Linked DNA regions of Alligator mississippiensis. The protein of the gene in region 1 interacts with the protein of each later gene in a pairwise test. Links are inferred from orthologs where the notes say so. Each region holds a gene or a part of one and is shown in the gene's direction. Other genes may lie near its edges.

Region 1 (7,484 bases):
GAGCCGTCTGCCTGAGACTGGGCCCACAGCCCCTCAGGACCCAGGCTCTGGGACCCTGTGGAGCAGCTGAGCAGTCAGGCTGGGAACCCTGAGAGGCAGGAGTGGCTGGGTCCCATGGCACCCAGACCCCAGAACCTGCTGTCCCGTGGTTCAGGCTCAGGCAAGTGAATACAGCAGTTCCAGCCCATTACTTCTCGGACTTGCCCTCTGTCCCCCACCTCCACAGCGGGCTGCCCAGTGGGGGGGCCTCTTGTGCCTGGCCGCAGCTACCAGAGGCTCGGTTCCAAGCAGAGTGGGTCCTGGTTGAGTTCTCCACTGAGCGCATCAGCCTCTGGGTCGGGGACACCCCAGAGCTTGGGAGCAAGAAGAGAGCCACTCCCCTGGCCACTGGCCCGTTCTGACTTTGGACCTCTGACGGCTGTGTAGGGGTAAGCAGCACCGACTCTAGCCTTCCACGGGCCTAAGGATCTGGGACTGGGCTGCTTTTTCTTCTCCTCAGGGCAGGAAGCTCCCCTGCGTCGGCTGCCTCCCTTCTCACCCAGCACCCCATGGGCACCCTTGCTCGTGTCCCACCCAGTGCCCCCTGTTCTAGGGCAGAGCAGCTATGCAGTGGGCTCCTGGCTGTTGTGCCACATGCTGCTCCCCACCTCTTGAGCATCATGGCAGGGTGGGCCCCAGTGATGTGCTGGTCTGGGTGGAGGTACAGTCTGCAGCAGAAATGGGGTCGGGTGGGTCTGGCTGGGGTTTTCAGCAGTGCGGGGTGAGGGTAGGGGGAGCTGTCTCTCACCAGACAAGGGCAGTTAGTGTCATGCTGGTGCCTCCACTTGTCTCTCTCAGTGCTGGTTGCCCTGCATTCCCTGTGTCTTGTCCTCCTCCTGTCTTGTGTCTGTTCACACCGCATCTCACTGGAACCTGGAACTCTCCGCAGGCGGGAGGGCAGAGGGCAGGGGTGCAAGGGTGGGCTGGGGGAAGGGAGCAGTGCCGCCAGCCCAGGGGTCTGCTCCCCAGGGCAGCAGCTGGGAGGCAGAGGGAGGACATCCTTGTGCCTCTGCCCCCCTGACTTTTGGAGGTTCCTGGTTCCCTAAGGCTTGGTTGCTGGGGATGGGGTGTCTGTCTGTCTGTCTGGGGGGTGCAGGGTGCATGTCATGGGATGTGTGTGCGTGTCCCTGTCTGGTGTGACTGTTGGGGACAGGGTGGGGGTCGGCGGGCTGTGCGATTCCAGCAGTGGCAACACAGTCCCCTGTCCGGAGAGGGCACCCCTGGGGGGCCCCTTGGTGCTGGATGACTGGCGTGAGAGGTCAGTGCCCAGGCTGGGCAGGATGGGCCGAGGGCTGGGGGGCCGGGGCAGCTCTTAGTATCAGAGATGGCTGGGGGCCCTGGGTGGGGGAAGGGGACAGCATGGCTAGACCTCATCTGTGCCCCTACCCTACCCTGCCCAGGCAGACAACACCTGGCGCCGCAAGGCGGGGGAGAACCTGGGACCTCAGTGCAGATGGGCGAGCTGGTGTTGGCACCATGTGGCATCTCCCTCGCAGGGGTCTGGGTCTGCCCAACGTGGTGTGGTGCTCCCAGGCCACCTGGGCCGTGGGCTGCCGGAGCCACTCCTCCTGGGAGGGCTGGCATCTGTGACCTGTACGGGGCGTGCAAGGCCGAGGGCAGTGCAGGTTGGCCCCCCAGCCGTTAGGCCCACCCCCCGGTGCTTGCCACTGGCTGCTAACTCTCAAGTCCCTAGGTTCTGGCAGCGTGTGCTGAGCTGCGTGCATTTTGCCCTTGTCTCTGGGGCCAGGTGGGGAGCAGACCTTGCATCTCCTGGGTCCTCCGCTCCGCCCAGAGCCTGCAGTCCTCATGCCCACTGCTGGCATGAGGCACCGTTTCCTCAGGGCACAGGGCTTGCATGAGTTCCTGCTGAAGAGTCCTGCCAGGTGCCGCGCCTTGCTGTGTCCCCCCGGGGAGCAGGGCCCCAGCATTCCTCGTGGGCTGTGGGCCTGGCCTGCAGCGTGTCCCTGCGAGGCAAGGGGAGCCCGGCCATCCAGGACAGCCTGTGGCGGAGGGCCTCAGGCGCGGCCGGGGCCCAGTGCAGAGCGGGTGGGGGCGGCGTGGCCATGTCCCGTGTGCCGTTAATAAATAAGCCCGTGCTCTGCATGTCTGCGTTGCAGGAGAGGCAGCTTTCCGCCGTGGGTGCAGCAGACTCGCGTGTGAGCGGCGCCCTGGGGCCGCCCTGGAACGGGATGCTGCCCGCCCAGCCCCCGCCTCCGCCCCCGCGACTCCAGATCACGGAAAATGGAGAGTTCCGCAACACCGCTGCTGAGCACTAGCCACTGCCCCCGCGGGATGTGGCGCCGGGCCCCGCGCCGGGCGGACCCTCCCTGCCCGCCGCTGCCGCCCGCACGCCCGCCCGCGGCTCTGGGGGCGCAGCAGAGACCCTGGCCGGGACATGGCGCCCTCCCCCTCGGCCCCCGCATCGCAACCGAGCAAGCAAGCAAATAAACCCGCCCTCTTCTGGGGGGAGGGGCCCCCCACTCCTGCCCCCCTTTGCGCACCAGCCCCTGCCCTGCCCCTGCCCCTGCCCCAGCCCCCCATCACGCCGTCCCTCGGGGAACGGTGCGACTCTTCAAACACAACTTCAGGGTGTTTTATAGCAGGACACAGATGACAATCTTACATCCACCCCTCCCCACCACCTGCCCCGACGCTCTCCCCTTGGCCCCCCCACCCCTCGTCTATCTCAGGAGTGCCCCCTACCCCATGGCAGACTGTCCATTGAGTTGCCCCCTGGGGGCCCAGGTGTCTATGCCTTGGCCGGGGGCGAAACACCCCACCCACCCCACTGCCTCTGAGCTGCCTCATTGCTGGGGCATGGGGGAGTGTAGCGCCAGGCTGAGCCCCAGGGAGACTGCCTGGGGTGAAGCTGTGGGCTTTGGGGGGTTGTGAGACCTGCCAGGGGGGCCTGGCTGGCTCCGGCTCCCCTGGGCATGGGGCGGGAAGAGGGTCCTGATTCTGCCCCTGCCCCCCCAGCAATGGGGAGTGTGGGGACAGGTGCCCGTGGCTGGACCGAGGATCCTAGCACTGAGGCCCTGGGTCCTGTCCCTGCCCCTGCCCCAAGATTCCCCTGCAAACCTGCCCCCGCCCCTTCCCTGCAAGGCAGGGTGACCCCCGTCCCTGGGGAGCCTCCCCTCTTGCTGGGGGCAGTGCTGGGCTCTGCCCCCGGCTCGCCCTGCCACCCCTGCCCCGCCTGGCGCCGGTGTGGGGGGAGGAGGGTCTCCCACGCCGCCGCCTGCCCCAGCCCTGCTTTCTGTGCTCTCTACTCCGACAAAGGGCTTTGCCTGCTCAGCGCCCACCCGCCCGCGGCCTGGCCAGCGCCCCCGGCCCCCGGACACGGACACTGGGCTGTAGCTGCCTGGGGGAGACGGGGCACCACGGGAGGGGCTTTCTCGTTCTTTCTTTCTTTTCTTTCTCCGTTTCCTCCCGGTCTCGAGACGCCCCAGGCCCTGCCCCACGGGGCGAACGTGGGGGCAGGGGGGGAACGCGACCACCGACCAACCAACGGGAAATCTTGAAGAAGCCATTTCTCTGCCCACCCGCCAGCGCGGGCACGGGCCCTGGGTGGGGGTGGGGGTGGGGGGCGCCGGTCCTACCCCCTGGCCTGAGCACGGAGAACTGGAGGGGGCCTGTTGTGGCTGTTCGCCGTCGTGCTATGGTCCGACCTGCTGGGTGAATGTGTTCAGCGCAGTGATTGTACTGGGTGTTTCTTTGCTGTTTCTGTGTCTCTATTTCAGACTCCCGGCTAGGGCCACCCTCGCCCTTCACCGGCCCCCAGCCCCTCCTCCCTGTGGTCCATATTTCTTTTGTAAGGCCTCACGCCTGCCCTCCCTCCACCGCCCTCCCCCCCCCCCCCATCCCGGACGAGGGCGGCGCCGTGATATTTATACGTATTAATTATTATTATTATTAATGATTATTATTATTATATAAAAGTTTGTACATATGTGAAATTTTCTCGGCTCCCGCCCCTCCACCCGGCCGCGCTGCCCCTCTCCCCTGCCCGTCCCTGGGCTGGGTGCTGTAATTACCACCGGATTTGTACTGTACATAGACCTCTCTGGACCTCACTCTCTGTACATAGCCCGCCTGCCCCCCCCGCCCCGGGAAGGGAGCTCAGGTGTGAGCCCGGCGCCCGCTGGTGCCCCCGGGCCTCTCTCTTCTTTTCTTTTTATTATTCCGCCCCCCCGGCCCTTTTCTTTCTTTCTTTCTTTCTCTTTCTTTCTTTCCTTTTTTTTCTGGAGTGTGTGGTGACAACATCGGAAACAAATGAAAATGTTTAATAAAAAGCGATTGTTCTTTTACGCCGCCTCGGCCCCGGGGTGCTCGCGGCAAGGCCGGGCCGGGGGGGCGGCGGGGCGGGGCGGGGGCCCGTGCCGGGGGCGACTCACGCACATGTCCGCTGGGCCGCGCGGGGAGGGGGCGTGGCCAACCAAAACCCAGCTCGGCAAGAAGCTCGAGAGGCCCTGCGATTGGCTCCTTCTAGCCAATCAGGTCTCAGGTGCTGGGAGCTGGCGCCCCGCCCTCCGGCGGTGGCGGCGCTGGTTGGCTGGCGGGAGGAAATGGCTGTCCGCCGGGCTGGGCGCTGGTAAGCTTGTGGAGGGGGGGGTTAGTTTCTGGTTGGCCGCCTGCGGAGCGGCGGTGGCGGGCGCTCCCGAGAGAAGCCCGGCGCGTGGGATACATCGTGGTCGGTCGCGTAGGGCAGGGCAGGGCAGGGCGCCGGGGGCTGAGCCCTGCAGCAGCGGCGGCGGCACGGGCGGCTCCCGCGGTGGAAGCGGCCTGCCTGGGGCGCTTCTCGGGCTCGGCCCGCGCGGGGCAAGGCCGGGTGTTTCCTGGTGTTGAGTGCCGGTCGGCCCGCGGGGCGGGGCGGGGCGAAGCGGTGCCCGGGGTTGAGTGCCGGTCGGCCCGCCCGGAGGGGCGGGCGCTTCCCAGGGTTGGGTGCCGGTCGGCCCGCGCGCGCAAGGGAAGGAAGGGGCGGGGCGCTTCCCGGGGTGGGTGGGCTGCAGTGGGCCCGCGGGGGAAGGGGCTGGGCGGCGGAGCGGGTGCGGGCTCCGGTGGCAGCGCTGCCCGGCGTGCCGTGCCCGGCCCGGCCCGGCCCGGCCCGCCCGGCGGCGCGATGGAGGCGGCGGCGCGCAGCGTGCAGATCGAGTTCCCGCACTTCGCGGCCGCGCTGCTGGAGACGCTGAACAAGCACCGGCTCGAGGGCAAGTTCTGCGACATCGCGGTGCACGTGCAGGGCCGCGTGTTCCACGCGCACAAGAGCGTGCTGGCCGCCGCCTCGCCCTACTTCCACGACAAGCTGCTGCTGCAGGACACCAGCTGCCTGGCGCTGCCCAGCGTCATCGAGCCCGACGCCTTCGAGAACCTGCTGCAGCTCATCTACTCCGGCCGCCTCAAGCTGCTGGTGGAGGCGCTGCCCAGCCACCTGCTGGTGGCCAGCGGGCTGCAGATGTGGCAGGTGGTGGACCAGTGCTCTGCCATCCTCAAGGAGCTGGAGGGCGGCCCCTACCGGCCCTGGTCCAGCCGCGCCAGCGAGAGCCAGTCCCCCAGCAGCAGCAACTACTTTGCGGTGAAGGAGGACGGGGAGCTGGGAGGCGGCGGGGAGCGCGGCATGGCGGCTGTGGCCCGCGGGGTGCCGGGCTGCCCGGACGATGAGGTGATGAAGATCCGGGTGTCCCATGAGGAGGAGGAGGAGGAGGAGGAGGACAAGCACCCGGCCGGGATCTGCAGTGGGTCCCTGGACAAGTCCATGAAAATCGTGCTGAAGGATGATGAGGAGGTCGGGCTCGGCGTCTCCAAGGGCCCGGCCTCCGCTGAGCCGGACGGCCCCTTCCCCAGCCCTCGAGACCACCCCAAAATCTACTACATCAAGCAGGAGCGCTTCGACCCAGAGGAGGCTGCAGTGGCGGCGCTGGGTGGTGGGGCCGGGGCTGTGGGCGAAGCCTGCTTTCTCAAGTCGCTGGCACAGGGCCGGGCGCTGGGCATAGCCGAGGTGCACGGCCTCTACCAGGCCAGTCTGCCGCCAGGCAGCAGCAGCGAGGTCAGCTACATTATCCCGGCGGCAGGCAGCACTGCCACCAGCGCTATCGCCTCCTCCTCCTCCTCGCTGGCCGCCCCCGGCTTCACCATCAAGGCCCAGCCCCTGCCCTCGGACGAAGTCGGCTTCCCCCAAAGCTCCTGGAAGCCGGTGGACCTGCACGGCAACGAGATCATTGCGCACACGGTGCACGGGCAGGTGGTGCACGCGCCGGTCAAGATCGTGGCGGCGCCTGACGGGAAGAAGTTCGGCTGCCTGTGTGGGAAGCGCTTCGCCGTGAAGCCCAAGCGGGACCGGCACATCATGCTGACCTTCAGCCTGCGCCCCTTTGGCTGCTCCGTCTGCAACAAGAAGTTCAAGCTCAAGCACCACCTCACCGAGCACATGAAGACGCACGACGGGAACCTGTACTCCTGCGAGGACTGCGGGCGCAAGTTCCGTGTCCAGAACTGCTTCCTCAAGCACAAGGAGCTCTGCAAGGGGCAGGGCTGGGCCACTGCCTGCTGGACCTACAAGTAGACTGGGGCGGGCGGGGACAGCCCCGCGCCACATCCCGCCAGGCCGGGCCCTGCCTGACCGCTCTGCCCCCCATGCCTTTGGGTTCCCGGCCCCGTGGCCGGCGCCCTGGTGCTGGGGCACGTGGGAGCTGGCGATTTGGGCCCTGCGGCTTCAGTGCTGCGATGCTGGCCCCGGGAAGGAGGTGGTGCAGGGCGGTTGGGAAACACTAAGGGGGTAGCTGTGGGTGGGGGAGGGGGGAGCGTGTGCAGCCTTGTGCCAACCCGTTCTTGTATAAACAGTTGCAGCCCGGCGTGGGGCCGTCCGGGATCTGTCTGTCGGCCTCGTCTGTCCCCCGCGGGGGGAGGGGGCAGAGCGGCCTGGGGCCGGGGCCTGTGTTGCCCTCACGGCCTCCCCGGGGCAGCGGGGCGGGCTCGGCCGGGGGCTGCCCCGACCTGGGGGCGGGCTCGGGCGGCGCAGCCTGGTGGCTGTGACCTGCCACATGACCAACGTCCGTGCCCCTGGCCCTTGGCGTGCGTGACCTCCTGGGGGCGGGAGGTGGGTCGCGTGGCTACGCCCCCTGCCCCTTTGGCCGACACCGAGGCTGATTGGGCCGGCCGCGGAGGGCGGAGAGGGGTGCCGGCCAATCGCCCCGCAGCGGAAGCGGCCCTTCTTGCCAATCCGGGCGGCGGGGCCCGGGCAGGGAACGCGGCCGGGGGGCGTTGCCCTGCGTGGGCCAATGGCAGGTGAGCGGTGGGGGGCGCGAGCGGAGGGAGGCGCGCAGCCAATGGGCTGGGGGCGGCAGTGACGTAACGGGGGGAGCGAGGTTTGAAAGCGGCGCGCGCTCGGGCTGGGGGCGGGGCCGCGTCGCCCCGGCAACCGCCACCGCGGCCCCTCCTCGGGTCCTGCCTCG
Region 2 (8,246 bases), on another chromosome or scaffold:
GAATCCAAATCATGATCCAAAGCTTTGCACAGCCCTAATGACAACACTGTTCACATTATTGATGGCTAGAAAATTACATTTAGAGGTTTGGTTTTAGAAATTGATTTGTAGGTTATATATGCATTAGAACAATAGTCAAGTGCGGCTGCAAGGGTTAATTAACTTTTAAAGGCCCGATCACACAGTAACACAGTTCTCACAGCCTTTAAGGCAGACAGGGTGTCAAGACAACAAGGTCAATGGCTAGACATAGCCTGGGAAATTGTGGGCATATATGACACTGTTCCATAACATGAGATAAGGTGGCACCAGCTCACAAGGCCTGAGGGTGGGGGCCCTGAGAGTTCTGGTTTTGGGGGAACAGACAAAATTAGGAGGACATTGGAAAAGCCCAAATTAGGATGCGTGCATGTGATGGGCCTGTGAAACAAAGGAATAACCTGACAGGACAGAACGTAGACAGTATGATGATCACAGAGACCAATCAGTGATAGCCACGGATGAAGAGTCATCAGGAGGGAAAAAAATAAAAAAGCAGAAACTTTAGAGCAACAAAGGGTCCCCATCCCTGACAGGGGAACCCAGGGCAAGTTGACAGAGGGAATATGACCAGCCCATCTCATCCACCCCACTGGGGAGAATGCAGGGAAGGGGCCTTGGCCTCCAGCCTCCTGAGCATAATAAGGGACAAAGTTGTATGTATGAACTAGGAATTAATCTGATTTAATCCTGCAATTTACAGTGACTTATTTTGAGAAGCCAGAGTCCATGCTTTGACCAATTTCTTAAATTTTGGTTTCTGACAATTTCTCCCTGCAGAACGAGTCCAAAAAGAACTGGACACTACTATTAGCTCATCTCGTGAAATTCGATATGAGGACCGAATGATCCTACCCTACACAAATGCAGTTTTACATGAAGTTCTGCGGTATAGCAGCATAAGTGCAATAGGGGTTATACGAAAGTGTGCCAAGGATACAACTGTGCAGGGCTTTCCAGTTAGTAAGGTATGCTAAGTATATTACCACACTTCAGAGGTGTTCTCTGGGCAAAATTTGAAACAGTAATAACTCCCACTTACCTTTTTAAACAATAGATGTTTTTTCTGTGTTTTGTGCAGGAATGGTTTACAAGTAAGGTTGAACAATTTGTAAAAAAAACTCTTTATTAAAAATAGGTATTGGATAGGTTGCAGGATAGGTTGTGGACCTCAGTAAGTAAAGGTTAACTCCTGCACAACTTTACCTTTCTTCTGCCTTCAACCTCTAGCCCGCAGGCAGCCCACAAAGCTGTCATACAGCTCACAAGGCTCCCCACAGGTCTGAAAATTTGGCAGCAGAAGAATGGTGGCAGAGTTAATTGCCACTCTTCTCCCAAATTTCCAGACCCACCTCAAATTCTGTAGGTCAGATAACATGGTCTTGCATGCGATAGATCACTACAGTACACAGTCAGATCAAGGTACACAGGGTTGGGCTGGTACATGGCAAGATCCAGGTGCACAGGGTCGGGTTGGGCCAGCACTTAGACAAGTTAGGGCACGTGAGGTCAGGCCGACACTCGGCCAGATCGGGCCACGCGGGGGCGGGCCAGCACTCGGCCAGATCGGGGCACGCGGGGGCGGGCCAGCACTCGGCCAGATTGGGGCACGCGGGGGCGAGCCAGCATCTGGCCAGATTGGGGCACATGAGGTCAGGCTGGCACCTGGCCAGATTGGGACACCCAGTATTGGGCTAGCGTGCTTAGATCGCACATATAGATCAATCCCACACAGGAGCCAAGCCACAGACCAACCCTGTGCCACTCAACTCACCCATGGAGCTAAAATGTTGGGCACTATTGAAACCAAAGGCAAAAATACATAAGTTAAATGGAAAAAGGCACATATTCTAGAATAAAAGGAATTTTACCAATAGAAATATATTCCTTAAATTTATTCCTTACCTTATACCTTCCCAAGCAGATGAGACTTTACAGATAGCTCCTTGGGAGACAGCGAGGAAGATGTCTTTGAGGTCATGCTCCACTGATCGCAACTTTAGAATTGGGTTCCACACTCAGTCTGGGGTGTTTATTTTTCCAGAATTAAACATTCTAATTTTTGGCTGTATATTATCGTCCTCAGACTGTTTGGAATCAATCTTAAGACCTTGCTGCTGAAGTAATTGTTTTAATGAACTATTCTGTAGTATGTGTCAGAGGGTGAACATGTAAGAATTAGCTTGTTCTTGCATTAGGCACTTTTAAAGGGATATGACAGACTGCATTGGGAAGCCATAGGAGGTCCAAGGATGTTTCTGCTGGGAATATTTTTTTTATTTTCTTAAGGAGTTGTCTTTCTTTCTAGGGCACTTTAATTTATCCCAACTTATTTTCTGTTCTGTATGATCCTGACCATTGGGAGACCCCTCAAGAGTTCAACCCAAGTCACTTCCTGGACAAAGGTGGAAACTTTTTGAACAAAGAAGCCTTTTTGCCATTTTCAGCAGGTAACATTAATCCCATTACACCCAGTGTAGCAGGGTACTTGCTCCACAGACTGATATCTATTTAGCCTTTCATCCGATCTTATTTTATAAAACCCAGTAAAGTCTTGAGCTCAGAAAACAAACGTATTATCTCCAACGGCGGATAATTTCTTTCTTTCTTGAAGAAACTAAGACTAACTGCTCTTTGAAGCTTCTTAGCAAATTTATCTGGAATTGTGGTAGCAAAATGTGTTTCCTTGTGGCAGCACTGAATTCTGACAGATACTGAGTGTATTCATATCAATCACATTTAAATGGAGAGCAAGCAAGTAATCAGCAGGATTTAAAAACAGACTGGATATTGAACACGAGAGCAACAAATATCCATGGTAATTTAAGGAAAAATGGTTTTGGAAGGAATGTAAAAACTTACTTTTCAGAGAATAATAGTCCCATCTAGGGGTAGCTACAGCCAATCAACGTATTTTTAGAAGTGTAGAAACTCAGGTTACATTATTAGTAGCTTCTAAACGTAACCTATTTTCCTAGCGTAGGCATGACTTCTAAGACGGGGAACACTGACTTGATCCCATTTGGCAGAGGAGATGGGCGGTCCAGTTGTTAGAGTGCTAAACTAAGACACCAGGGTTCCCCAGTCTACCATAGACTTCCTCTGTGATTGCGGGCAAGTCACTAAGCTTCTCTGTGCCTCAGTTTCCCTCCTGTAAAATGGAAAAATAGCACAGCCTTGTAGTGGTGTTGCAAGAATGAATATGGGAGACAAAACAATGACAGAAGACAAACAGGTGAAATGTATTCTTGTTTTTTTAAACTTTCTGTGATCAGTGCCTCTGGTGCTCCCTACATCTATACAGTATCAAGCCATACTGAGACATTAAACATTGTCATTTATTTCCAATGAATTGTATCCTTCCTCAACTTGGGGGCAGAGGCATAATTCCACTTGCAAGGGTTATTAGATATGTGTGATAAATTCTCCTCTTCACCCTGCAGGACACCGTGTCTGTCTGGGGGAACAGCTGGCAAAAACAAGTCTCTTTATCATGTTCTCCAGTCTGCTGAGAGCATTCACCTTTCGGCTGCCGGAAGGAGTGAAGGAAATCAACAAGAAGCCTATCGTAGGGTTCATTCTGCAGCCCCAACCCTATAAAATGTGTGCTGTTCCTCGTTAAGTTTCTGTCTTCCCAGACACCTGCTGGGAAGTGGTTTTCGGATTCTCGAATGGCATCCTTGGCATTTGGAAACCACTGCTTTGCAAACCCTTTGTCTCTTAACACATTACAGTTGTTGTCTGACCAACAATCCTTGTGCTGAGTCCCTAAAATTCCTTTCAGCGAGCTAACAAACCATGCCTGCTTGTCACACGGATCTCAACATCAAGCCAAAGAGCCACCCCGTCCTTGTGGTGCACGGCACAGCTGCTCGGCTGGAGGGTGGCATGAGCTGGTCCAGAACTACTATTTCCCTAGTAGAGAGAAAAAGAATACAAGCAACCGGGGGCAAATCCGAGGGGTGGGGATGGCTTGCATCGGTGCAGACCAATATGGCTATCAACATAGGCGACTGGTACCTCCAGCCGGGGGGGTTCCTCCAGTTGCCGATCGCCGAGCCAGCGGCGAAACCGGAAGCGTGCTTCCAATTTGCGGCTGGCGCTTCCAGGGAGCACACAGCCAATCCCAGAGGGTGCATGTGCACGCACGTGTACCCCTACACATCGCCAATGGCTACCAAATACACCCCTGGTAGTGCCTGCAGCATTTCTAACCCAGCAGCGACAGAGTCCATATCATTTATGGCTCGTTATAATCTAGACGATCCCTTTTAAACCCTGCCTTCCAGAGGCAATAATAACCCCGTCTTTCTTCACGGTCGTGATGTTCCACCAATCAAACGGTCCTTCCTTCTCCCAATGCCACGGCCTGTTTGCCGCTCCTGGTAGCCAAGCTCCTCTTTCACGGCCCTACACCTCGCTTCTAACTCGGTCCAGTGAAGCCGTACGTGGTTTTTGCTGCGATCGTCGCCTGCGTGGTGCAGCCTGGCGTATCAGTCAAAGCTTCCGGCTGCGTGTTGTTTTCAGAGGGGATGAGGCACCCTGCTCCCCACAACCCCCTTTTCAAAATCTTCCGTCCGCCCAGGCGAGCAGTTGTTAGCCGTGGCTGGTTTTCATTCCCAGGCCGCAGCGCCTCACAACTAAGGCAGGAACCTGCTCCCTCAGAGCACGAACATGAAGCCACGAGCACCCACACGACCGTTGGGGCCACCCCGTTTTGGCGGGAAGGCAGCGGCGCCCTCCAACGGCCGCTCGCGACATCACACGCAGCCCCCCCCAACATGGCGGCTCCCGCGGTGGGTCTGCCACACTCAAAATGGCGCCTGGCAGGGCTCTCCCACACTCAATATGGCTGCCGGGAGGGAAGGTGCCACACTCAAGATGGCGGACGAGCCGCTTTGACATTCCCTCACTATGTGCTCGGCGACTATTGCGTCCCCCCCGGAAACTTGCACCCCGGCGGAAAGGTTCCGCTTCCGGAAGTGGCGCGCGGGCGGGTGACGGGGGCGGCCCCGCAGGAGCGGAAGGACCTGAGGCCGAGGCAGGCGGAGGCGGCGAGCGAGGATGAACAACAAATTTGACGCGTGAGTCGCGCCCCCCCGCCTCGGCTCCGTCCTCGTCCCCCGCCCCCCCGGGGGGAGCCGCGGCCGTTGGTCCGGAGGGGGCGGGGCGCGATGTGTGACGCGCGCGTGGGGGAGGGGGAGGCTTGGGGGGACCTTCCTGGGCCTCAGTGTGGAGGCTGCTCAGACCCAGCCCCTGATTGGCCTTTAGAAACGGGGGCTGAGCCCCCCCCCACCCCCCTCCTTGGTGATTGCATTCACTGCTTGGGACAAATTAACACCTAATGGACCAGGGGGGAGGAGGGGTGGTGGGCGAGCGAGTCCAATGAGCCGCCCCGTGCAACCCTGCCTGCAGGTGTGCGCAGCGGAGGGGCAGGAAAGCAGCCCCGCCGGCCCCGGGGCCTGAGCCCCGTCCTCGCGAGATGATTCGGAGCCTGCAGGAGGCCGGCCGAGGGGTCCCGGGGTTTGGGACGTGGCGGGACGGACGTACGGTCTGACCCGGCACATGGCACTTCTCACCTGCGTCTGATTTTTGGGCTTAAATGGGAATCGACGGGGTAACGTGCCTCGGCTTAAATAGTTATCGGTGGAGTCATATACCTCGTCTTAAATAGGAATCGACGGGGTGATATACCTCGTCTTAAATAGGAATTATGGGGTAATATACCCTGTCTTAAATAATAATCTATGGGGTAATATACTCCGTTTTAAATAATAATCTATGGGGTAATGTACCTCGTCTTAAATAGTAATTATGGGGTAATATACCGTGTCTTAAATAGGAATCTGCGGAGTAATATACCTCATCTTAAATAGTAATTATGGGGTAATATACCTTGTCATAAATAATCTGTGGTGTAGTATACCTCGTCTTAAATAATAATCTATGGGGTAATATACCTTGTCTTAAATAGGAATCTAGGGGGTGATATACCTCGTCTTAAATAGTAATTATGGGGTAATATACCTCATCTTAAATAATAATCTATGGGGTAGTAGACCTCGTCTTTAATAGGAATCTATGGGGTACTATACCTTGTCTTAAATAGTAATTACAGAGTAATAGACCTCGTCTTAAATAGGAATCTACGGGGTAACGTACCCATTATTGGTACAGCTAAGTATTGGATAACAAATGATGCCTGGGCGTTGTATCGGCCACGGGACCTGTGACGGGTGCGGGGCTCATAACGCACCTCCCTGCACGAGTCTCTGTCGGGCTCCCAGCTTCTCTCTGTGTCATGGGGTGCGCGTTGGGTGGCCACATTTTTGCTCCTGCGCAACTTAAGGCTCTCTCTCCTCCCACCTCACGTTCATCAGTTTGAAAGATGACGACAGTGGGGACCATGACCAGAACGAAGAGAACAGCACACAGAAAGACGGTGAGAAGGAAAAGAACGACCGGGACAAGCCCCAGGGCAGCACCAAGAGGAAGGTGAGTGCTGTGCGCTCCACTGCTGTCGTCAAGGCACGGTTGGAGATGCTGGACTTGACGGGGCTTGATCAGTCCAGTAGCTCTGCTGTAAGGAAGATGCATGTCGGCATGTTGTTATTTTGCTTGCTGCTCTGTCAGTGTGGTACTAACAAACTAGGGCTAATGAGCGTACAGTATAATAAGCTGAGCTCGAGTACCCTGTTCACCGGTGCAATTAGAAATCTTCACCCAGTGAGTTGAACTTGTGGAAACAAAAAGCAAAGCTTGACTTGCTTCAGGCAAATCTCAAGAAGTATTTGCAGATGGGAGCTTGCTCTTGGTTTCGAATGGCGGTTCTCAAGCAGGGTACTGTAGCATGCTGGGTGCCATGCAGCCCTTTTAAGGGTGCCCTGAAGTGCTGTGCAATGCTAGTACTGTTAAGTGTGCAAACACCTAGATGCTATTTGCAAGATAAAACCAGACACTTCAAACAGAAACCCAGAGTTTCATAATCTTTCTGCTCTGTTGTGGTCTTTGTGAGCTTTTTGACAAAAAATAATTGCTCTGGTATGTTTTTGTAGTAAAAAAAATGAGTGAGAGCTTAGGAACCAGTGTTTTCAAAGGGGGCCTGGAGTCTAACACAAGGCTGCATCGAGGTTGAAAACTGCTGGTTTAGAAGATCAAGTTTTGTGCTGTTGTTTAAATAGTCTGTCCTTGAAGGGTGATTACAAGCAGATACAGCATGGTTCAGTCAGGTTTGGGAAACCACCTCCTCTCCTTTAATCTTGCGCTCATTAAAACTTGCTCTCTAATTAGTGTAACATCTTTGCATGATCAGCTTGGACCTTTTCCTTCTCCCTTGCATGATGGAACCTCTGTCAGGTTGGTGATTCTAGTGTAACATCTGTTTCTTGGCGACTGCATTAATGTACGCTGGAAGCCTTTTATATAGGCAGTGGCTGTTCCTGGCACTCCCTCTGTCTTTATCTGCCTGCGTGCTGACAGTGCTCTGAGAAAGCTAAATGACTGAACCCTGCCACTGGAATTGTGGTGGAGTATTTCACTTGATTTGGGGTTTAGTTCACTTTAGATGCTTTTTCTTTTCCCAAAAGAGAAGAATAGACTACTCTGTGAGAAGCTCCCGTTCTCTTCTTTGTTTTGCATTCCATGGCCTGTGACAGCCTTGACCGCTGCAACTGTCCTGGCAGCCCAGGGTTAAAGGGAGCCGCTCCAGAATTTATTAATGCCCTTCCTAAATTTGCCTGAGGGGTTGCTATCGGGTGACATTCTTCCTGGGGCTGGGGCTGCTGCCCCTTAGCACTTTCCCTTCCTGCTCGAAGAGCGAAAGTACTCTGGATTTCTAATAACCTCTTTGAAATACAGCCGATCACTGCTGAAGTAATGATCTGTGTCAAGCTATTAACCAGGATGGGATTTTTCTAGGAAAATGAGGCTAAACTGTTCCTTTTATGCTCTGTGGTGGCAGGACCACGTGCCTTTCTAATGCCATGCATATAGCTTTCTCGGTCTCTTCTCCAGAGTAATTTGTGAGGATAAATGAGGTTCTCTGTTCTGCAGGCTGTTGTCCCAGGGCCGGCCGAGCACCCACTGCAGTATAATTATACTTTCTGGTACTCCAGACGAACGCCCGGGAGGCCCACCAGCTCGCAGAGCTACGAGCAGAACATCAAACAGATTGGCACCTTTGCCTCCGTGAGTACATCCCCATTGTT
Region 3 (7,991 bases), on another chromosome or scaffold:
TTTCTGAATGTTGTACTTTTTAACTATTGCAAGCTTGGTAAATTCTAATAACTGTCAGACCTCCTGGCTGCATGTGTCCTGGTTCTTCCCCAGAGCTGTGCAAAACTTCTGTCTTTGACTGCAAATATGTCAGAGGGAAAGTGTGAACAAGTTGGTGGGGGGGAAGGGTGCTCAGATATTCTAAACACAGTGGAAATATTTGGAAGGTGACTTGAGTATAACATTACATCACAGGTTTATCAGGTATGTTCACATGAATTTTAAACTGCACCCTGGTTATGGAAGGTAGGGGCACAGTTATAATGAGCACAGCTACGTGCTCTCACATAGCACATTCCAGCCATAGGCCTCATGGTGCTTTGTAGAGCTGTCCAACACTATTTTCAGAGTACCTGAGGGATAGCAAGGTGCCATAACATGTCCAAGAGCAGAAAATGACTATTCCGTCTTTGCCCTACAGCAGGAGTCAGCAACCCCCGGCACGCATGCCAACCATGGCACACAAGGCCATTTCGCTCGGCACATCACTGCCAGCCTGGGCTCTAGGCAGCTGCTGCAAGCCACGGAGCCTGAGCTGCTCCCAGCACACAGTTGGGAGGCTGCAAGCAGCCCAGGCACCATGGCTGTGTCTCTCTCTGACCTACCCACCCCAGGGAAGACTCGCCCAGTCACACTGCCTGTTTGGCCTGCCAGGCACGAAGGCTGAACCAGAGCCTGGGCTGGCTGCAGTCGGAAGGCTACAAACAGCTGCTGCCTCCCAGCCCCAGCTGCCTCCCAGCCCTGGGCTCGGGGGAGGCATCAGGTACCAGTGATGCTCCCCGCCACGCTGCCCTCCCCCACCACCTCTGCAGAGAAGTGTGTGGAACTCAGCATGGCACAGCACAGCACAGTGGTGAGGCGCACAAAAGCTGCCTGCCACTCCAAGCTCCCCGCTGCCCTGGCCACACTTCCCCTGCAGGCAGGGGCAGGAGTGAGGGGCACAACCCTGCACGGCTGCCTGCGCTGCCTCCGTGCATACAGGGGAAGTGTGGCCAGGGCAGTAGCAGGCAGCTTCCCTGTGCAGGCCCTCTGTGTGCTGCTGCTCCAGGTCGCACACGCATTTATGATTATTAACTATACTTATATACAGTGCATCCTGCCATGTACCCCCTGCCCTTGTTTTTCTGGCATGCCAGCACTCCGGTACCTTCCAAGGTAGACATGGTTTTTTCGACACTCCAGCCAAAAAACATTGCCTACCCAGCCCTACAGTCTGTTATGGAGAAGCACCATAAAATACTGGCTTTGCTCTCCAGCTCATGGTGGGGAGCATTCACCTACCCAGACATACTTACTGTCCTGTTTGAGCATGTCTGCCATAAGATGGCAGCTCAAGGTTCCATAACACTGGCACTCAAACGGTTCCTTCTCAAGTTACGTCTTACTCTTTAAATCCAAAAGCAGGGTGCCCAAGGAGGAAGAAGTAAAAGACTCAATTAAGGCAGCCTCCTCTGGGACCACCTACAGAATGTGTCCTGCTGCTTCTGGGTCCAGGGGACAAGCACTCGCTGGTGGGAGCAGATGGTCCCAAGGACCTGGGATAATGACCAATGAGCAGCTGCCTTGCTTGAGCACTGTTGTGCGCTGGCCCTGTCGCTTCAAATTCAAGCCATCAGCATGAAAGCAGCCATAAGCATAGAGAAGTGAGTGATAATTGCCATCTGGAAACTGGCATCTGCAGTAGCCTCCAGTCTGTCACCAACCACTTCAGCACAGGCAAGTCCATGACTGGATTACCTGTCCATAAGGTGTGCTGTTCCATTCAGAAGATGCAGGTGCCATGATTCCTCTGCCTCTCTCACCTACAGAAGATCTTGGCTGGATCTAAACATAAGGGCTTTCTGAACTGCATTGGGACCATCGATAGAACGCACATTCCCATTCTGTGCCCAGTGTACTATATATAGGCCAGAGTACAAGTAAAAGGGGTATGTCTCCCCTACTGAAAGGCATCATGGACCAGTGAGGATAGCTCATATCTGTTACCACTGGGTCGTCAGGCAAGATCACAATGCCAGGGGCTTCAGGAACTCCAGCCTGGTGCCCCTGATGACAGAGGAAGTGTTTCCCCATGGTGTTCCCAGGATACAGCTAGAAAGTGACTATTTCTCCCTGCTACTCAAGGACCTGACCTACTTGCCCCTCCTGTGGCTCATGAAGCACTACATCAGACACTGGCATGAATGGGCACATGCCCCCAGCAGCTGGGGGGGCACAGTGGTGGCAGGAGCATGGCAGCGGGGGCAGCAGTAAGCGGGGGAGCTCCCACAGACACCACCAGCGCTGGGGCGGGAGGCATCAGCCGGTGGGAATCACAGACCACCCCCTACACATCGCCCCTTGACACTGGTGATGAAAACCCCCTCCAGCTACTGACTGAGCATCTGCCAGACAACTATGAAGTGCCCCTTTGGGGGCCACAAAGCACAGCAGAGGGTCCTGGGGTTGCACTTGGATACAAGCAAGTGCTTCCTGAAGGCCTGGTTACTAGAGGTCTAAAGGTTTGGTGGTTGCTACTAGACCCGAGACTGAACCTCTGAGGCACCACCACTTTCAGGACAGGCTTTGTGAGGGTAGTTCTGGCAAACTACTTCTAACAGTGCCTGGTGATGGGGTGGAAGGGCAGGGCTTGTAAAGTCCAACCAATGTAAAGGACAGCTTGTTTGTCTGAAAAAAAAGTGGATGAGAATTAAGCTCACACTGTTATCATGGGGGGGAAGGGGGGAGGGGAACAGGAATGGGATCTCAAGGGCTGAGTGGCAAGACTGCATCTTCCCACACTGCAGAGGGATTGAAGGGGCTTGAGTCCCCTCCCTCTTACTGTTTGAACTGCAAGGTTGAGGGGAGCTATTCTTGATCTCACATCCCTCGGCCTCTGAGAATGACTGTGTCCCAGAGCTCCCACTCATGCTGGAGCAGAGGCTCTAGGGCCTTACAGATGGGAAGGTTGGGACTGTGCTCAATGTGGCATGGCTGGGATCACAGTAGGAAGGTTTGGGCATAGGAAGGGGGGGTCTGGGACTGGAAGACATTTCTGAAGGACGCTTTTCCAAGACTAGAGAAAATGGCTCTGCCCCACAGCCTTGCTTCCTGGACAGGCCCGGTGAGTTCCAGGGGCACTGCAGCCAGAAAGGGGAGGCCTTTCAATGTCAGAGCAAGGCTGTATGAGGTCTCCCCTGAGAAGGTTCCAGTATGCTGCCCCAGGAAACTGGGTGAAAGCTCTGCTTAGCCCTGCTGGCCTGTGGAATGACAAGTTCATGTGTCCCATGCGGAGTGTCTCCTCAACTCCTGACTGCTCCAAAGACAGCTCATTATTTGCCTGCCCCAGTACCTGGACACACCCATGCAAGCTCTCTCCTGAAGTCTGCCCTCAGCTGCTCTCTGAAAATCATCCTATGTGGCCCCTACTCAGACCTAGGACTAAAGACTGGATGTTTGCACCCTGCCCCCCTGGTACCATTAGTGGAGCTCCAGAAACCCTCCTGTCTGTCCTGCTCAAGCTACAGCCTACACAAATTCTCACACGTTCACAACGTAATAGTCAGGGACTGAAAGCCTGAGGGGACAGCACAGATGTTAACTGTGCTGATTCATTACTGGCCTCTCTTGTATCAGCCTCCAGCTGTCTGCAGAATCAGTGAAGGGTGGGGAGGGGACAACATCTGCAATCCTGTGGAGACGCTGTTTGGCTTGCTTGCCTTTTTGTGATTTCTTTCAGAGTTTTAGCTTTGTGAAGCAGACTGAAGATAACCTAACATGAGCTAGGTAGCATGGCTACAAGTTTCCCCCCACCTTAAGGTAATATAACCTTGAGATACTCAAAGGACACTCAGCACCAGTTAACAAGCTTTAACATGCAGATGCTTGCATTTTAAGTGCTATTAGTAATGATCCAAGCATAACATGCAGCTTCCCCCTGAAGTTAGATTAGGGGTGCTCAACCTCCAGCCTGAGCCAAATGTGGCCTGTGAAGGCTTGGCATCCAGCCCATTGTTCTCCCCACAGGTGGAGTAATTTGGCAGGAGGGGAACAGTGGCAGCTACTATTGTCACCCCTCCCTGCTGCCAATTTCCCAAGGATTGGAGCTGGGCCATACCCCTCCACCCACAGGGCCAGATCATCAGGGCTGGGCCACAGCCCCTTCTCCCTGTCCCACTACAGGGCCAGGTTGACCTGTGCCAAATCCCTTCTCACTGCACAGCCAGATTGGGGACAGGCTGCCCTGAGCCCTGCGTAGCTGGAGGGGGCCCCGCTCTGCCCACCCTGGGAACTGGATCAGGACTTCTGGTCCGACCCAGCCCACGCACTGACCGGGCACTGCCTGTCTGGCCTGCCAGGCACGAAGGTTGAACGCCACTCGCTTAGACGTCAGGGAAAGCTTCCTTTGAGAGCGGCAACCCCGGGAAGTTACTGACCCGCCCTCGGGTCGATACCGCAGGGGCCGCTGGTGGGCTTCGGCCAGGGGAGGCCTGGGAGCAGCGGCGCGGCTCGGCCGGGGCCCCGGGGCCCTGCCCGCGCACGCTGCGGGCCGCCCCGCCCAAGCCCCGCTCTCAAGGGCTGCGCCAAGGCGGCGCGCGAGCTGCTCTGTGCCGCAGCGAGCGGCGCGGCCGCATGACGCGACGCGACGGGCCGGGCCGGGCCGGGCCGGGCCGAGGCGGCGGAGACGCTCCCGCCGCCAAAGCAGCTCTGGCGCTCTCGCACGAGGGCGGACGCGGAGGAGCCGCGGGCGGGACCAACCCCCGCGAGGCGAGGCGAGGCGAGGCGCTACAAGCGCCGGCCGAGCCGTGACTTAGGGCCCAGGCAGGCGGGGCCTGTGCGCGCGGCTGCGCGGGGCGGGACGAGGTGTCCAAGCGTTGCCTGACAGGCTGCGCCGGCCCGTCAGGCGCCAGCCGGGCAGCCTGGTCCCGCTGCTGGTGGGCGGCGGGGCTTGAGCGGGTCCGCCGCGGTGCAGTGACGTCTGAAGGAAGCGGCCGCTGGCTCCGAAGATGCCCCCGAAGGGGAAAGGCAGCAGCAAGGCGGGAAAGGGTGCGTGCGTGCGGGCGGGCGGGCGAGCGAGCGGGGGGTGCAGGCCGCCTGCTCACGCTCCTGTGGTGTCTCTGCAGGAGGTGCCTGTGGCGGCGGCGGCGGTGCGGAGCAGAAGGCGCAGGGCCCGAAGGGCGGCGGCAGCGCCGTGAAGGTGAGTCCCGGGGCAGGCGGTGCCTCGGGCGGTACTGGGAGTCCCGCGTCTCGGCCTGGCCCAGGCCTCTTGGGCCTCGGCGGCAGGAGGGAGCTGCTCCCCAGAGCCCCGCGCCTATCCCGCTCCCTCCCGCCAAGGGCCCGGCGGCCTGTGCGGGGGAGGCGGCCCTTCTGGCAGCCCAGCGGGGCCTCACCAAGATAACACCCCCCCCCCCCCCCCCCCCAGCTTGGCTTCACAGCGAGCCCTGCGGGCTCGACCCCAGGGTGCATGAGGTACCACTGCAGAGGGGCAGGGCCCATGGTACAGCTGTGCACAGGGGCCATTGAGTTGCCTGGACCTGCGATGTTCACTGCTTCCCTAGCGTTCATTTGCACTGCTTGGCAAAATGATCGTTCAGATGCAGCTGCAATCGGCCGCACCGCGCAACAGTGAACTCAGAGGGGAGCTGATAAATGGCCTGTCTGCAGGGCTTCTGCCTGAGGGAACAGTGGTGGTATCACAAGTCTACTACCAAGGGCTTATGGTAAATCTCAAGTACAGCCGCTAACCACAGCATGTGTCTGTGAGTTGTGCTGTTAGACTTGTTACCTGAAGGGATGACGGGCTATTTCATAGACTTCTAGACAAGTCAGACTGGAAGGGACCTTCAGAGGTCATTTAGTCCAACCCCCTGCCAGACGCAGAATCAGCCAGGCTGTAGCAGCCAGAGCAGACTGTGGAGAAGAGACCATTGCTTTGCTCTGCATTGGCTCTTCTGTGGGATGGCAATAGAAGCTGCAAGCCTTTACAGGATCTGAAAGCTGCTGCCATCGTAAAAGGAGCAAAAGGAAATAAGACTATCTCTGCCCCCCAATGTAATTTTCCTCTTGTTTTTGTATTTTAGGTCAGGCACATCCTGTGTGAAAAGCACAGCAAAATTATGGATGCCATGGAGAAGCTGAAGTCTGGAGTGCGTTTCAGTGATGTAGCTTCACAATTCAGTGAAGATAAAGCAAGACAGGGGGTATATATTGACAGCACTCTTGGGTTGCCTGCCTAATAATGGAGAGACATCAAGGTTTAGTGCAGGGGTTCTCAGTCAGGGTGCTGTGAGACCTTTTCAAGGGTGCTGCACCACTGCAGTCTGGTGCGAGTGCCATGGGAGTCTGTTTGCATGAAATGCTGTGCAGGGCTGGACTGAGAAACAGCAGTGGCAGGAGGGCATGTTAGTGAAGCCCAGCCTGTCTGAAGGTCCCAGTGACATAACAGAGGAATAGGAGGGCACAAGCCCCAGGTGCTGAGTAAGTGGAGGTGCCTCCCAGGTCCCCTCTGGCTACTTGTGCCCAGGGTCAGCATTTCCCAAACCTGGTAGATACAGGCTCCTACCTTCTGTTTGCTCCATGCAGCTCACTAACCATTGCTGTTGTCTAAGGGAATCTAGCAAGGGTAAGCAATAACTGCAGTAGGGGCTGTAAAAGTAATACTGGGCACAGATCAGGAGCTGAGGAGGCAGCAGGCAGCTTGGATGTTGTTGGGGGGGCTTGAAAAGAAAGGCATAAAGCAGGGCAGAGAAGAACATGCTGGAGCCAAGTGTACCACAGCTGGTAGAGGGGGACCCATGGGGGGAGTTAGATGCACAGTAGGTTTGAGAAACTGTCCCAGGGCACAAGCCCTACTAGTGAGGTCTCTGGAAAGTCAGACAGCATACAATGCAGTAAGTATTACCTCTTCTGGGCTCAACTGAGCAAAGTAGTGCTGCTCCAGACTGGGTGTTGGGCTCCAACCTTCTCCCAGGGTGCTGTGGGCTGCCTGGTAGGCAAGGACCATTGGAAAGCAGAGTTTGGACACCTCCAGAGCAGCAAGCACTGGCTGAGACCACATGAACCCCATTTCCTTGCTTGCTGAGCTCTGCCAGAGCTGCCTCCACCTCACCTGTGCCATCTTCCCATCACTTAAGAATCCCATGGTACCCTCAAGGTCAAATCTTGAGCCCCCAGGCAGGTCTGGGGAAGGAGGTACCTACTGCCTTCTGTTCTTGCAGTGTGTTAGGGCAGGGGCTGTCTCTCTCCATGTCTATAGCTGACATAATAGATACCAGATATATATATGCAAGCATTTTACACACTGTAATAAATACATTTCTTTTTTGAAATGAGGTGCCACTAAATGCAGAACAGTTACAGAGGCAGCTTTCAGTCTAAAAAGGTTGAGAACTTTGCCATTGATGTTGGGGCTGTGTTTTGGGAGAGCTTGCTATAGAAGACCTGTTGCTGTTGGGAATGAAGTATTCCTTAAGAGCGCTTGGAAAGGACCATTATGCATTCAAATGATGTGCAACTCTGCTCTGGAACTAACAATCTCCATTGCAAGAGGGCAGCTGCTGTCAAAGGAGCAGTTGTGTACTGTTAGAGGGGAAGGGAAGGTGATAATTGATTTACACCCAGTTCTCTCTTGATATGAAAAATAGGGTAAGATAGTTTCCCTAGCATAGTAGGGGGGCCAACCTTTTTGGCAGGCTAATCCAAGCTAAACTAAGCCCCACCCCCAAGTGCCTTTCCCTTGTCTGATTTGTTACCTTGCTTTCTGTTCCTCTTCTGCCATGTTCCTTGCTCCCTCCCTGGTCTGTTATGTCCTGCACAAAGGCTGTCCATACCACTTGTGGCACACATGGCACAGGTTAGCCACACCTGCCCCAGCACATCCTCCCCGTATTTCATTCACTTTGCTGCAGTGATGAACAGCAGCTGAGTTTGAAGTTGCAAACACTAAACAGAAGGGCCTGTCTGAAGAAGTGGAG
Region 4 (7,438 bases), on another chromosome or scaffold:
GACGTTACAAGGAGCAGCAAGACTGCTTATATGGGGGGAGAGAGGGAGGAGTTGAAATTAAAAAGCATCTTATTTATTACAGTAGTGTCTAGAGATCAACTAGGTGTGGGGCCTTCCTGTGCCAGGCAGTGTGCAGGCACAAGTAGATGATCCTTGCTCCAGAGATCCTGCTGTTCAAGTAGACAGGCCCAGGGCAGGTGGAAAGGGTCAAACACACAAGCAAAGTCAGCAGCATGTCACACTAGCGTTGCAATTCTTGAAGGTTTTGGGATGGGGTTTTCTTGGAGGGAAATTAGCTACATGGAAAAATATGAGAAAGGAGAAGAGATACCAAAGGGCAACTAGGGAAGGGTGAAAATAAACCAATAGTCAGGACAGTTAAGGGAATACCTTCTTAAAGCTGTAGATGCTCTGATGGTGTCCAGAGATCCCTGTTTGAGCTGCTTCTGCTAGCATCAGTCTCTGGGTAGCTTCCCTTTGCCATCCCTTTCCTCAAGCCCTGTTCTATGTCCTAGCTGCAGGCCTGATTGAGAGGAGGGATGGCAGCATTAGCAGCAATACAGTGAAAGAAAGAGGCTTGGGAAGGAAGCCTATGAGTCCCAGAGGGTGGTGAGATGTTGAAATAGGGGGAGACTGGTGTGTGGAATGGGATGGTGGGAGGACAATGGGAAGAGCTGGGAGTCACCTGAGGCAAAGGGGAGGTAAAAAAGTCACATGCCATAAGAAGTGGCAGAAGTAGGCTGAAAAGAAACAGGACTGGGATGTGGCCCATCCCAAAATTTCCCCAGGGATAGGCAGAGTGAAGAGGGAGCATAGACTACCAGGAATATATGGAAACTCTGGGCCAGCGGGAGCCAACCTTTGTGGCAGACAGATTAAACCCCACGCCTTCCCTGAGTTCCACTCTGACCCCCTTCACCTGCTGCTCTGCTTTCTGCTCCCTGCCCTGTGCCCCCAGCCCAAACTGTTGCTCTACCACATGCCACACAGCAAACGGCCTAGGTCACTTGTGGCACACGTACCACAGATCAGTCTTCCCTGCTCTAGGCCTTCCTGTCAGCCTTTCCAGCTGAGCCACAGCATCTCTTGCCTCTTGAGCCCCTTCTCATTAATTTTATGATTTTTCCTTCCCTTTTCTTCCTTTGCTTTCTGGAGGACTTCAGTCTCTCTTACTGGTATTCCGGGCATGAGGACTCTTGCCCTTGGTTTCATGCTCTCTCCCAGTTCACAAAAACTTGGGTACTCAGGACAGTTTCCTAAGCCCTGCTTCTTTCCCAGGATTTCCTGGGCCATCTGCTCCCTGCTCACTTTATTTCCTCATGTGTCTCACCCTCTCTGTGTCCGTTCATTTAATGCAACTTTTCATTTTCATTGAATGTGGATGACAATGTGGGGGTGTCTTTCCCCCTTGATTTTTTTTCCTCCCTTCTTTTCTGAACATCTACATTTACCCCAATACAAGACGACCCTGAATTTAAGATGACCCCTCCCAACAATTACATTCTATACTTGAAAAATGTATAAATTTGTCATTATTTTCCATGTATAGAACCTAATTATTGGATGGTCATTCTAAATTAGTCCTCTCACCCCATCTCCCCACCGCTGCAGGGTGGCAGGCAGTGAGGGGGAGCAGGTAATGTGAGGAGGTCAAGCATTTTGCCCCCTGCTGCTTACTCCCCCTTCCCCTCCCTCCCACAGCTTCTGCTCTCCCCCCTGTGCCTCCCTTGCCTTTGCCCTGATGCCAGCAGGCTCCATCTCAGCTCCAGCTTGGGGCACAGAGCATGCCCCAGCTCAGCCCTGTAGGAGCTTTGCCAGCTCAGTACTGCTGCTACAGCAGTGGGCAGGGATCTTGCTCTATGCCCCAGGCTGGAGTGGGGACTGAGCCTCCTGGTGCTGGGGCAAGGATAAAGTGGTGGGGTGGGGAGGCAGGGAGAGAGACTGCGGAGGGGATGCGGGGGAAAGGGGCTGCAGTGGGGAGATGGCGGGGTGCAGAGGCAGCAGGGGACAGGCAGCAGCTGCTTACCCCTCCCACTGCCTCATACTTGATTCCAAGATGAAGGGCTCTCCGCAATTAAATGGGGGAAAAAAACCTCGTCTTGTAGTTGAGTAAATATAGTACTTCTCATTTCCCCTGGATGCAGAAACTCTTCTTTCTCCATGCCCTTCTTTGCCCCCATTCCTCTTCTGACAGCTTGAGTCATCAGTTTTTCTTCTGCTGCCCAAGTTTGCTGCTGCTGTTTGAAGCTGGTCAGCTAAGGATGGCTCGGGTGGGTATCCAGTGTACAAGAGCACACTGCTCACTCCCCTTTTACTACAACTCTACTTCAGCTTCCCCATGCATCTCTCCCTCTGCACCAGCTCCCTGGTACCAGCCTTCTCTTCTGGCCTGATTAAAGCTCACTTCATGTGACAGGGCCCCTTATATTGTGAAACACTGCTGTTATTTGGGATGGTTTTCTTTCCTTATCTGCTATATCCACCTTTCCTCTTCCTGCCACTTTCTCTACCCAGTCTCCAGATCCCTAATGAGGTGTCTTATTGCCCTGGCATGATAGTTAATTTGTTCTCTCAACTGCACATTCTCAGTTCATTTCCTCTCTCCCGTCAGCTGTTTCCCCATTGTCATAGCCTTCAGTCTGCATTTCTCTTCTCTGGGGTCATGGCCCTTTCTCCTGTAAGAAGTCTGTTCTTTCCCTTATTTCTTAAACATAAAATAAATGCGACAGCATCTCTCCCATTTTGGGCCAGAAACTTCCCTGTTTCTTCCAATTCTTATCTTGGAATACACTACAATCTCATTGTAATAAATCTTGATTGTTAATAAGCCACTGTTTTTTAATAATACCAATTCTTTTTTCTTTTCTTTTTTCCCACATTTTTATGGTGTAGCCAACTAACTAACCCTGCTGTAGCAAGCACCCTCTTTTAAAGATTTTTTTCTCCTGGCCCTGTGGTGGTTCATTATAAGGAGGTTGTACTGTATGCTGGTCCTCCCTTCCTTCATTTCATATACCTTTCATTGTGGCCTTTGATCAAGAAAGCTAGCCCCAACAGCCCATATTCAGGTCCACTTTGATGCTTTGAGGTAGCATTTGGACAGCTCACGTAGTTTTTTGAGCTACTTCCATGGATTTTAGGTGTGTAACTTGTAGAAAGGAGAAGGGGACACCCCACCTTTAGTCTATTGTTATGGCGCTTGCCCAGGAAGCAGGAGACCCCTTGCTCCAAGGGGGTTTGAACCTGCATCTCCCACTTCCCAGCTGAGTGCTCCAACCCCCTATGCATTGCCAAACACACTCTCCAGCCTCACTTCTGAAGCTGGCCCACTGGGCAACCAGAAGGACAATAAATGGAGGGAATGTGGCTCAGTGAGAAGGGCAGTACCCTAGAAAGGAGAAGGTGGTGGAGTCTGGTTTGTGCTCCTGGTCTTCCTTCGCCAATGGTGACTCAACTACACTTTTTATTTGATAGCCATTAGATGGACAGTAGTGGGATTGCTGTCTCTTGCCCCACTGGAGGCAGAGCCCTGTCCATCTAGGGTGGGATCCATTTCAGTGAGCTTTGTTCACACCCCCCCTGGCCCCACATATCTTACCTTTTTGGCTGCTGTGACAGGGGGCATGACAGGACCGGGTCTCATGTTGGCCTCCTACCTGTGCCCTGTCTTACCTGCCATGACTTGATATTCTCTGATTTAACAAGCGGGAGGCTGCCCATTTACTGCCCCAATGCCAGGGGTGCTATCCATGGCTCCATGCCTTCCCTATACTGTGGCCCATGCCTTGCAGATGGCATCTAGTTTGCTATTACAGCTCTGGCCTGAGATAGGGTCAGACTCAGTCCACTGTTGGGCCTCTTGCACACTACCCTATTTGGGGTCACACGCATACCTCCCGCCTCTCACTGGGGCCTCTTCCACTCTGCCTTTTCTGACCAGGCGTCTTGCACGCTGTCCTTCGCTGGGCCACACTCACTCTGCCCTACTCCTTTGAGCAGCCATCAGGCTTGCCTACTCTCACCTTGGCTGGCTGGCATACAGCCTCTTGGGTCTTCCGTGACCCTCATCCAGACAGTGACCAGCCAATTAACTGAACACTGAGCTGACTCTGCCCCCAGCCCCTCACTGGGCAACGTTCACAATATATTCACATGCTTATGGGGGTTGGCCCATGTGCTGCCCTTCTGGCTGTCCTTCAGCCCTACTCAACACACCCCCTGGTGCAGCCCTTCAGACTGGCCTTCAGTCCTACTCTACACCTTCCTTACGCGCAGTCCTTCAGGTCGTAAAGATGCCCCTACTCTGTGGGCCACACCTGCTCTATTACCCCCACTCTGGGGCTACTCTCCTGCCCACCCTCTCTGGGCCAACTCCCACCCCCTCCCTGGCGCCTCCAGTGCGCAAAGGTATGCCTGGTCCCTGTGCCTGGCCCTAAATCAAGGTATGCCATCAGGATGTGGGGGCTGGGGTTTTAAGGAGCCCCTCCCTGCCTTTTACCGGGGATGCAACTGGCCTGGCATTTCTGGGGAGCTTCCCCACCACGAGAAGCCCCACCAGGCCATCCTTTCCCAGCAGGGTACAGTTTCAAGTCATACCCAGGACCAGGAGCCTCCCAGATGCCTGAACATGAACATTAAATTTCTACGAGTGGTGGCAGCTCAAAGCCTGATAATTATCTAGATCATACCATGGGTGTGAACTGTTGGCTTAAACTCCCCTCAGGGTTTTGAAATATTTTCCTTATCTTGTCAAGGGTTTGGTATTCATTTTTATAAACTACTTGGGACCATTTCTGTTTTTGAGTGCAAGCATTTAAGTTGGAAAGTAATTTAATTGCCTTGGAAAAAAAAGGTCTTTCCCATATTGCATGTTGGGCTGGCTTGCTTACTTGCTTCCATAGAAATAAATGTGTTACAAGGCATTTCAGCAAATGGGTGATGGTCTAATACTGCCCCCACCCGGTCCCTATGTGGCAGGATTGGGCCCCATGCCACCCTGCATGCCGAGTCTAGCATCCAGGGTCACAGCCCATGGAACTCCCCACAAGATCTGTAGGGAGCTGTATGGACTGGATTACACAGCACTGAGGGCTGGATCTGGCCCTCAGGCTGAGAGCTGAGCACCCCATATCTAACAAGCATTGTTGGCACTGTAGCTTTGGGTGTGACCTTAACAACCAGTACATGCCCTTGAGCTCAGTGTGACTCTCTGTGGGTGCACGGATTCACTTGGGCAGTTTTCTATGGAAGATGTGGCTGGTGTGGGTTGAATAAGATATCCAGCATAGCTTTGCTGGTCTACAGAAGCTTACTGGGACTCGGTGCTCCCTTCTACCATGCTGCTGTGCCTGGCCTGCTATTAATATTTATGAGAAATGTGAACTCTCTGATTCATAGCGTGGGTAAGTATCAGTCAATGAGTCTCTGATTTATTTTAGCTCTGCAGTCGTCCAGGCTTTAGCACAAGGAGTGAAGAAAGCAGACTCAGACCCTTCTGTGAAAGCTGTTGTGATTTGTGGGGCAAATGGGAAATTTTCTGCAGGTAAGGCATTTTTCTTCAGGTAGGTATGGATGGAGAGTTCCTGTTTATTCTTTGCCCCTTTGAAGACTCTGGAAGCTTTTCCCTTTAACTGATGGGATCAAGATTTGACCCACAGAGAAGCAGTCTGTGGGTCATATGACTTTACTGGTAAATGGTAGAAGCTGCAGTGCACACCTGCATGCACCCACTGAGTCACTACTTTGATGTCCCATGGAAGTCCTGTTACAGTCACTACAGGTATCCTGGTGACAAATTCTGCAGTTCTTCAGAATAGCAGCAGGGTCTGGGGTATTTCGATGCTTGTATTATTCTAGCCATTCACCATCTACAGGAACCTGATGTATCTTTAATGTGGTGTTTCTCAGAAATTGACCATATAGGATCCTTTTTCACCTCCTTACCCATGGTTCACGCTCCCAATGGGTGACACTAAATATAAGACGTATTTTCCTTTGTATTTGTAAACAGGGGCAAAGGACGGAGCCCATTGCAATGAGCCCATTGCTTGGGAATTACAGTAGTGTCGTGACATTGATTTGTGATTACTGCACACACTTATAGTTATTTAGCCTATACCCCAAAAGACAGAAAAGGCTAATAATAGGTTTTGTCACATAGGGTCCTGGACACTGTGCAGGGGTTTGATTAGTTTTACCTTTCTTCACCATCTTTGACCTGCTTGACAAGCCTGGGAATCAGGATTGCTGTCTTGCAAGTTCAGGTCTGACTTGGACTCCATGGTATTTCAGCTGGGTTGAGTTGCCTAGAAGGAAGGGGCGTGATAGGCAATCCTTTCCCTGCTGTGTTTTTTTTTTTGTGTGTGTGTGGGTTTTTTTGTTGGTTTTTTTTTTTTACAGTCTAAGTTCCTCTGTGTTTCATCAGGTGCTGATATTCGAATGTTCTCCTCCCTCCCGCCAAGAGACAGACCTGCTTTGGCAGAAACAGTCTCTCTGATAGAGAGAAGTCAGAAGCCAGTGGTGGCTGCCATTGAAGGCGTGGCTTTGGGAGGAGGCTTGGAAGTAGCACTGGGCTGTCATTACAGGATTGCACATGCACAGGTAGGATGTGATGGTAACAACAGAGTTCAGCAATGGGCCACAGGTACGCAAGGTCAGGTTCTGTACAGGGGTGCACGGAGTACAACAGGGTGATCTCTCACCTTGAGGTTTTCGCAGGAGCCACAGTAAGGCCAGAGGAGAGGCTCTCATCTTACTGCCTCATCTGCATGCCTAGGACTTCACAGTATTTGTTCAGACACCCCCATTCTTCACCTGCTTTTCCACCACTTCCCTGTATGGCTCACTTGCAGCTCACTCTAGGTCAGTGCTGAGAGCTGCCTGAGTGCTCATCCCATGATTTTCCTGCCCTGAGGCACAGCTGACATGGGCTCCCTGCTGCACTCTATTTCCGGGCGTTCAGGATCAAGGCTGATGCATGCTAAGCAGTGTTGGTGCTGTTGTAGTACTACACTGTTATTTTTAGATCTGCACAGTTGGAGACAGCCTGTTCCTGGAGGGGCATTCACTAGCTTCTGCTGAGTTACCAGGACACAGCCCTGGAGCAATACTTCCATGTGAAAATGCTTGTCTGTTAACGTGCTGACTTTAAACCAATCATTAAACACTTCAGCCTTCCCTTAAGAATGGCATTAATGGTTTTTGGGCATTTTGTCATTTTAATGAGGTCACTGGGTCACCAATTAATTAACCCCTCCCTCTAGCCTTGTTGTATCTCAGCAGAACACTGTCTTTTCCATCACACTATTGGGATTAGTGGGGAAATAGCAAAATTTCTAACCAATAATCCAGGCAGATTTTGGTACACTACTGGTGATGTGGACAATGACATCAATAGCTTAGGCAACCTTAACGTTTCAGTTCAAAAGGACCTTTTCTA

Evidence for each region.
Region 2: the proteins of ZBTB9 (region 1) and EIF4E2 interact in binary tests that used the Homo sapiens proteins (3 or more experiments, as listed by UniProt). The two-hybrid records come from large-scale screens. The link is inferred for Alligator mississippiensis from reciprocal best matches to the Homo sapiens genes ZBTB9 and EIF4E2.
Region 3: the proteins of ZBTB9 (region 1) and PIN4 interact in binary tests that used the Homo sapiens proteins (3 or more experiments, as listed by UniProt). The two-hybrid records come from large-scale screens. The link is inferred for Alligator mississippiensis from reciprocal best matches to the Homo sapiens genes ZBTB9 and PIN4.
Region 4: the proteins of ZBTB9 (region 1) and EHHADH interact in binary tests that used the Homo sapiens proteins (3 or more experiments, as listed by UniProt). The two-hybrid records come from large-scale screens. The link is inferred for Alligator mississippiensis from reciprocal best matches to the Homo sapiens genes ZBTB9 and EHHADH.

Annotation. Positions count from the first base shown.
Region 1 is NC_081834.1:64,913,185-64,920,668, forward strand, and holds ZBTB9 (zinc finger and BTB domain-containing protein 9), read left to right. Parts: upstream 1-5,155; coding exon 5,156-6,595; 3' UTR 6,596-6,901; downstream 6,902-7,484. Other genes in the region: SYNGAP1 (ras/Rap GTPase-activating protein SynGAP), read left to right, coding at 2,157-2,315. UniProt on the Homo sapiens protein: May be involved in transcriptional regulation.
Region 2 is NC_081830.1:84,413,370-84,421,615, forward strand, and holds the start of EIF4E2 (eukaryotic translation initiation factor 4E type 2), read left to right. Parts: upstream 1-5,014; 5' UTR 5,015-5,103; coding exon 5,104-5,123; intron 5,124-6,419; coding exon 6,420-6,534; intron 6,535-8,091; coding exon 8,092-8,226; intron 8,227-8,246. Other genes in the region: cytochrome P450 2J5, read left to right, coding at 820-1,007, 2,348-2,489, 3,483-3,661. UniProt on the Homo sapiens protein: Recognizes and binds the 7-methylguanosine-containing mRNA cap during an early step in the initiation. Acts as a repressor of translation initiation.
Region 3 is NC_081831.1:39,604,428-39,612,418, forward strand, and holds the start of PIN4 (peptidyl-prolyl cis-trans isomerase NIMA-interacting 4), read left to right. Parts: upstream 1-4,899; 5' UTR 4,900-5,024; coding exon 5,025-5,064; intron 5,065-5,141; coding exon 5,142-5,215; intron 5,216-6,098; coding exon 6,099-6,218; intron 6,219-7,991.
Region 4 is NC_081830.1:29,982,982-29,990,419, reverse strand, and holds the start of EHHADH (peroxisomal bifunctional enzyme), read left to right. Parts: upstream 1-4,292; coding exon 4,293-4,407; intron 4,408-5,407; coding exon 5,408-5,542; intron 5,543-6,424; coding exon 6,425-6,600; intron 6,601-7,438. UniProt on the Homo sapiens protein: Peroxisomal trifunctional enzyme possessing 2-enoyl-CoA hydratase, 3-hydroxyacyl-CoA dehydrogenase, and delta 3, delta 2-enoyl-CoA isomerase activities. Catalyzes two of the four reactions of the long chain fatty acids peroxisomal beta-oxidation pathway.